Linked DNA regions of Callithrix jacchus. The protein of the gene in region 1 purifies or fractionates together with the protein of each later gene. This does not show direct contact. Links are inferred from orthologs where the notes say so. Each region holds a gene or a part of one and is shown on either strand. Other genes may lie near its edges. The genes, in order: CASP10 and FASLG.

Evidence for each region.
Region 2: the proteins of CASP10 (region 1) and FASLG purify together in Homo sapiens (co-immunoprecipitation; 3 studies listed by BioGRID and IntAct, with this or other methods). This does not show direct contact. The link is inferred for Callithrix jacchus from reciprocal best matches to the Homo sapiens genes CASP10 and FASLG.

What each region holds. Positions count from the first base shown.
Region 1 is NC_133507.1:122,266,937-122,271,471, forward strand, and holds the start of CASP10 (caspase-10), read left to right. Parts: upstream 1-1,573; 5' UTR 1,574-1,751; intron 1,752-4,535. UniProt on the Homo sapiens protein: Involved in the activation cascade of caspases responsible for apoptosis execution. Recruited to both Fas- and TNFR-1 receptors in a FADD dependent manner. May participate in the granzyme B apoptotic pathways.
Region 2 is NC_133519.1:30,102,967-30,105,997, reverse strand, and holds the end of FASLG (tumor necrosis factor ligand superfamily member 6), read left to right. Parts: intron 1-11; coding exon 12-68; intron 69-1,301; coding exon 1,302-1,696; 3' UTR 1,697-2,438; downstream 2,439-3,031. UniProt on the Homo sapiens protein: Cytokine that binds to TNFRSF6/FAS, a receptor that transduces the apoptotic signal into cells. Involved in cytotoxic T-cell-mediated apoptosis, natural killer cell-mediated apoptosis and in T-cell development.

The DNA.
Region 1 (4,535 bases):
CCCAGAGATAAAACATCTTTCTAAGACTCTGTACGTCTTTCCAGAGTTCTGCACATTTGAGGTAGCTTAATTATAGTGTAGTGACTTTGAGCCAAACTTGCTGGTTTAAATCTTGGCCCTCCCAGTAGCTCACTGTGTGACCTTGGGAAAATTACTTAACCTTTCTGTGTTGTAGTTTTCACATGTTAGAGCAGGAGTCATAGTAATAGTATTTTATCTTGGGGTGTTGTTGGGATGGTGAAATGAGTAAAAATTTGTAAATACCCTATGGCACATGGTAGTTACAATAGAAGTGTGCAGTATTAGGCCAGGCACGATGGCTGACACCTGTAATCCCAGCACTTTGGGAGGCCGAGGCAGGTAGATCACAAGGTCAAGAGATTGAGACCATCCTGGCCAACATGGTGAAACCCTGACTCTACTAAAAAATACAAAAATTAGCTGGGTGTGATGGCACGCACCTGTAGTCTCAGCTGCTCAGGAGGCTGAGGCAGGAGAATCACTTGAACCCAGAGGCAGAGGTTGCAGTGAGTTGAGATCACACCCCAGTCTGGTGATAGAGCAAGACTCCATCTCAAAAAAAGAAAAAAAGAAAAAAAAGCAAGTGTTCAGTATTGTTTTATTAGAAATAATGTCTTCAAAGTCTCTTTTTTTCTGGTTTGAATGTGCTGTGAGAACATGCACTGTCAGTTTTGTCTACCATTAATTGGTTGAGTCTCTTGCAGATACCTCCAAATGGGCTTGTAATTCACCATCCCCACTTTTCTTTTTTTTCCCCTTTTCTTTTTATTTCTTAATTTCTCCCACAAAGACTGAAAGTGAATCCCCACTTTTCTTTTATCATTTAAAAATTTTATTTATTGGCTGAGTGTGGTGGCTCATGGCTGTAATCCCAGCACTTTGGGAGGCTGTAGTGGGTGGATCACGAGGTCAGGAGTTCGAGATCAGCCTGGCCAGCATGGTGAAACCCTATCTCTACTAAAATACAAAAAAATTAGCCTGGCATAGTGGCGTGTGCCTGTAATCCCAGCTACCTGGGAGGGTAAGGCAGGAGAATTGCTTGAACCCAGGAGGCAGAGGTTGCAGTGAGTGTAGATTGCACGATTGCACTCCAGCCCGGGTGACAGAGCAAGACTCAGTCTCAAAAAAAAAAAAAAATTATTTGTTTATTTGCATGTGGACTAAGGAAAGGGTTAACTTGACTTTATTTGAAAAGTTAAGTGTTTGGGGAAGGAGATGATTAGAAAAATAGATGCTTCCCATTTTTTTCTTTTCTTTTTTTTTTGTTTTGTTTTTATTCTTTTCCCACCAACTATAGATAGATTCCCTTTTTGACTTAACAAGAAAATGGAGATCCTAAGGAAAGCCTGGAGGACTTCATGGCTTCCGTGGGTTCATTTCTAGGAAGATTTCGCTTTACATGGGGAAACCCCAAGCTCTACAGTGAGAAAGTTGTAAATTAGCCTTTAGGAGACGCTGTTTGTCAGTTATCTTAAGCCTGGAAAAGGGGAGGGAAAAAGCCAAATAAGCAGTGACGACATTGGCAGGAAATCAGTATCAGGCTACCCAGCCCAGTAGGATCCAGTTTTCACTTCAACAGCCAGCAAGTCTTGAAGTCTCTTCCCGCGAAATTGGGAGCTTCCTTGGACCTTGGAGCACATAGAGGATTCTACTTTCTTTAAAATTTTGTTTTCAGGCAATTTCCCTGAGAATCGTTTACCTCCAGAGGATTGGTGGAGCCTGATCTGAAGGTATGTAATTAAATACCACAGAGTCTCATGCTTGGATCTTTTCCTTTGCTTCATGGCTTCATGTTGTAGAAACTTGCAAAAACTTGTCAGCAATGGTATTATTTCTGCTTAGATTTCTTTGCCATGCCTGGGAAAACAAAAGTTCAAAAATCCAGAAGCCTCCAACATAGCCTTTTACCGGCAGAAATATGTTAGTTCCCGGAGACAAAGTGTGGCAGACTCATTAAAACTAGAAATTGGAATTGTCAAGAAACCACAAGGCAAATGTAAGATGTGGTAGAATAGAAACAGGTCCAGGAAACCACTCATTTGACCTCAGGGCTAGCAGCAGGGAAGATCCCCTGGATCATCACATTTAAAATGACATTTTTTGTTTCTTTTTTTTGAGACAGAGTTTTGCTCTACCTCCCGGGTTCAAGTGATTCTCCTGCCTCAGCCTCCCAAGTAGCTGGGATTACAGGCATGCACTGCCATGCACCGCTAATTTTTGTATTTTTAGTAGCGACGAGGTTTCACTATGTTGATCAGGCTGGTCTTGAACTCCTGACCTCAGGTGATCTGCCCACCTCGGCCTCCCAAAGTGCTGGGATTACAGGCGTGAGCCACCATTTTTTGTTTCTTTTAACACTGAAATTAATGTGTATGTTCATGTATAAATAAAATTTGAGAAATTCAGTTGAAAGCCCAGGAGAAAATTTGTATTATCTCTAGTTATGCCATCTCGATATAACTACTCCTTATTATGGAGGTTTTGATTTTTGCTATGTGTTTCTTCCTTCTTTCCTTCATTTATTTATTTAATTGAGACGGAGTCTCGTTCTTTCACCAGGCTGGAGTACAGTGGCACAATCTTGGCTCACTGCAACTTCCGTCTCCCAGATTCAAGCAATCCTCTCACCTCAGCTTCCTAAATAGCTGGGACCACAGGCACCACCACACCTGGCTAATTTTTGTATTTTTTAAGAGACAGGGTTTCACCATGTTTCCCAGGCTTGTCCTAAACTCCTGGCCTCAAGTGATCCACCTGCCTTGGCCTCATGAAGTGCTCCTCTGATTATAATGAAATTTAGTACAGAGAATACAGTAGTTTATAAACTAGTCAGATGGAAACATTGACTCATGTAATTTTCAACTTCCTACATTGATTTGAGCAACTCTTGTCTAAAACCATTCTTTCCTTCTGAGGTCTAGCAGTTTTTTTGTTTGTTTGTTTGTTTGTTTGTTTTTTGAGACAGGGTCTCCCTTTGTCACCCAGGGTGGAGTGCAGTGGCATGATCATGGCTCACTGGACCCTCCACCCCCAGGGCTCAAATGATCCTTCTGCCTCAGCCTCCTGAGTAGTTGGGACCACAGGTGTGCACCACCATGCCTGGCTAATTTTTGTATTTATTGTAGAGACAGGGTTTTACCATGTTGCCCAGTCTGATCCCGAACTCCTGGCTGGGGTTATAGGTGTGAGCCACTGCACACTGCCTGTTCCTTCCTTTAGAAAGTAGTTTCCTGTTTCTAAAAATAGCGAAGTTCTGCATAATGACTATATACCTCAAGTGCTTATAGAATAAATAATATTACAATGAAAATGTTATCACTGCATTGCTCCTCTGATTATAATGAAGTTTAGTATAGAGGATACTGTAGTTTATAAACTTGTCAGATGGAAACATTTATTTACGTAATTTTTTTTTTTTTTTTTTTTTTTAGTAAAAACAAATGTATTAGATAAGTAAACAAAAGAATGGCTACTCCATAGACAGAGCAGCCGACCCATGAAATTTTTTTTTTTATTTTTTATTTTTTATTGGATTTTAGGTTTTGGGGTACATGAGCAGAGCATGCAAGAAAGTTGCATAGGAATACACATGGCAGTGTGCTTTTCTTTCCTTCTCCCCTTCACCCACATTTGGCATTTCTCCCCAGGCTATCCGTCCCCACCTCCCCCTCCCACTGGCCCTCCCCTTTTCCCCCCAATAGACCCCAGTGTTTAGTACTCCCCTTTCTGTGTCCATGTGTTCTCATTTTTCATCACCCGCCTATGAGTGAGAATATGCGGTGTTTCATTTTCTGTTCTTGTGTCAGTTTGCTGAGGATGACGTTCTCCAGATTCATCCATGTCCCTACAAACGACACGAACTCATCATTTCTGATTGCTGCATAATATTCCATGGTGTGTATGTGCCACATTTTTCCAATCCAGTCTATTATCAATGGGCATTTTGGTTGATTCCAGGTCTTTGCTATTGTAAACAGTGCTGCAATGAACATTCGTGTACATGTGTCCTTATAGTAGAACAATTTATAGCCTTTTGGATATATACCCAGTAATGGGATTACTGGATCAAATGGAATTTCTATTTCTAAGGCCTTGAGGAATCGCCACACTGTCTTCCACAATGGTTGAACTAATTTACACTCCCACCAACAGTGTAAAAGTGTTCCTTTTTCTCCACATCCTCTCCAGCATCTGTTGTCTCCAGATTTTTTAATGATCGCCATTCTAACTGGCGTGAGATGGTATCTCAATGTGGTTTTGATTTGCATCTCTCTGATGACCAGTGACGATGAGCATTTTTTCATATGATTGTTGGCCTCATATATGTCTTCTTTCGTAAAGTGTCTGTTCATATCCTTTGCCCACTTTTGAATGGGCTTGTTTGTTTTTTTCCTGTAAATCCGTTTGAGTTCTTTGTAAATTCTGGATATCAGCCCTTTGTCAGATGGGTAAACTGCAAAAATTTTTTCCCATTCTGTTGGTTGCCGATCCACTCTAGTGACTGTTTCTTTTGC
Region 2 (3,031 bases), on another chromosome or scaffold:
CTATCACACAGGCCACCCTAGTCCACCCCCTGAAAGAAAGGAGCTGAGGAAAGTGGCCCATTTAACAGGTCTGTATCTGGAAGGTACAGGTGGGATTTGGGAAAGCTTTTGGCAACAGGCAGAATAGCTGCTTGGTTTCATTACTGGGCCCTAGAGAGTTGTTACTTCCTGGTGACAGTATTTGAACCCAACAATACTAACATCTTTCTTGTCAAGTCAGTCTTGCAAACATACTTTGAGCCCCTATTCTCTGGGCAAGGGCCTCTTCTAAATTGGAGACCTAGAGCTAATTATGACATGACCCCTGTACATGACCTCACTCTTTTCAGTCATTCCCAAGTCCCTTGGGGATTGGGGGCACAGATCCAAAAGGTGAGAGCTGAGAAGGTGAGGAATGAGGACTTATTTTCATCAGTGCTTTCTTGGTTTTCTGGAAGAGCTTTACTCTGTTTTGTCCAAGAGTATAAATAGGAGTGAGAAGGGAAACTCAGTCCTGGCACTTGTCAACTTTCAGCCTGTGCCTGCAAAGTGGTGTGAAATGATATGGTATGGGCACTCCCATTGTAAACTTCATAAATAACTGAGAAGTGGATAAATATCACAGAAAGTGGTAGGCTATTGTCCCTGGTATTATTTAGGCAGAAACTGTAGAATGATCCAGTCAGATCAGCAGACACTTATTGAGTACCTGCTGTGTGCCAATTTTGGGATGTGAAGATGAGTAGCACATGGCTCTTGCCCCCAGGGAGCTTGACATCTAATAGGGAAAGACAGGCACTTATGATGATTTTAGTACTGCAGAGATTTGGGTTATGTTCTTGATGCTGTGGGGATACAAAGAAAAGGAAACTGTAGCCCAAATTGAGGAGCTGAAAAATTCTTAACTGCAGGTGAGAAGATGGACCAGATGGTTCCTAAGATCCTTCCCAACTTTAAGACATTAGAGTTCCTTGGATTTGGCTTTTTCCTTCAGGAAAGGACCTCAATGCCTAGCAGTTTTGGTGTTAGTTCTGAAAATAATAAAATCTTTGTTCCAGAGAGCTAATATTTTCTAATAATTTTTTACTGCAATTGATTGGGATATATACTATTGTTCTAATTGTGTGGATGACAAAACAGGACAACAATGTTTAAGAAATTCTGTGATGGATCAAGTTCTGGCCCCTCAGCCGGTTCTATATAGGCTGTGTCATTCCGGGTAAAACATTTGTTCAAGGAAGGACCCGCGGTTTTCCCATAGAAACTTAGTTTGTTGGATGCATGACATTCCTGGCTGAAAGCTCCTTTTGAATTTATTTCAGGCAAGCCCAACTCAAGGTCCATGCCTCTGGAATGGGAAGACACCTATGGAATTGTCCTGCTTTCTGGAGTGAAGTATAAGAAGGGTGGCCTTGTGATCAATGAAACTGGGCTGTATTTTGTATATTCCAAAGTATACTTTCGGGGTCAGTCTTGCAACAACCTGCCCCTGAGTCACAAGGTCTACATGAGGAACTCTAAGTATCCCCAGGATCTGGTGATGATGGAGGGGAAGATGATGAGCTACTGCACTGCTGGGCAGATGTGGGCCCGCAGCAGCTACCTGGGTGCAGTGTTCAATCTTACCAGTGCTGATCATTTATATGTCAATGTATCTGAGCTCTCTCTGGTCAATTTTGAGGAATCTCAGACATTTTTTGGCTTATATAAGCTCTAAGAAAAGCACTTTGGGATTCTTTCCATTATGATTCTTTGTTACACACACTGAGACTGTTGTATTCAATGACGGTCTTCTTAGGCACATTTGAGGTCAAGTAAGAAGACATGAACTAAGTGGACCTTGAGACCACAAGGTTCAAAAGGTCTGTAGCTCCTCACTCACCTAACGTTTATGAGCCAGACAAATGGAGTAATAAGACTGAAGAACATCTGGGCTGCCATGTGAAGAGGCAGAAGCATGGAAAAGCAGCTGCCAGATGTTCTACATTCATCTTCAGTGCCTGAAAGTATTTGGGCACATTGAAAAGGACGCCTTTTAACTCACTTCTCAGGGTGGGCCTTGCTACCTCAAGGGTGACTGTCTTTCTGATACATGGTTGTGACATGAGTGTTTAAGGGATGGGAAAGGAGGACTAGAGGCTTGCATAATAAGCTAAAGAGGCTGAAAGAGGCCAACACTCCACTAGCAGCATCTTCACTTCTAAACACATAGCCTGAGCCATCGCTGATAGTAACAGAGAAGCAAGAGAGATATTTTGAGGACTCATTCCATTCCTAACACAGCATGTGTATTTCCAGTGCAATTGTAGGGGGTGTGTGTGTGTGTGTGTGTGTGTGTGTGTGTGTGTAACTAAAGAGAGAATGTAGAGATTGTGAAATACATATTAGGAAAATATGGGTTGCGTTTGGTGATAGAGTTTGAATGCTTCTTGACAATAAACTCTAATAGTTCTTAAAAATCATTGATTTTCAGCTACTGATGAAGTTTTCCTAGAATATAATAAATATTTATATAGATGTACATTTTTGGGAAAAGAAAATGTAATATAAAGCATATGTTAGGATACAGATAATTTTTAGCAAATATTTTACAAATATTTGAATTTTTGCATATTATTTCTTTTTTCCATGGTTTCTTTATTCATTACGATGCCAGACCACTTTAACAAAAATTTATAGGCTGGGCGCGGTGGCTCACGCCTGTAATCCCAGCACTTTGGGAGGCCGAGGCGGGTGGATCACGAGGTCAAGAGATTGAGACCGTCCCGGTCAACATGGTGAAATCCCGTCTCTACTAAAAATACAAAAAATTAGCTGGGCATGGTGGCGTGTGCCTGTAATCCCAGCTACTCAGGAGGCTGAGGCAGGAGAATTGCCAGAACCCAGCAGGTGGAGATTGCGGTGAGCCGAGATTGTGCCATTGCACTCCAGCCTGGGTAACAAGGGCGAAACTCCATCTCAAAAAAAAAAAAAAGAAAAACAAAAATTTATTGGGGTGAGAAGAACTATGAGGCAATCTTTTCACCTTTGCCAGGTCTTCCTTCTCTCTATA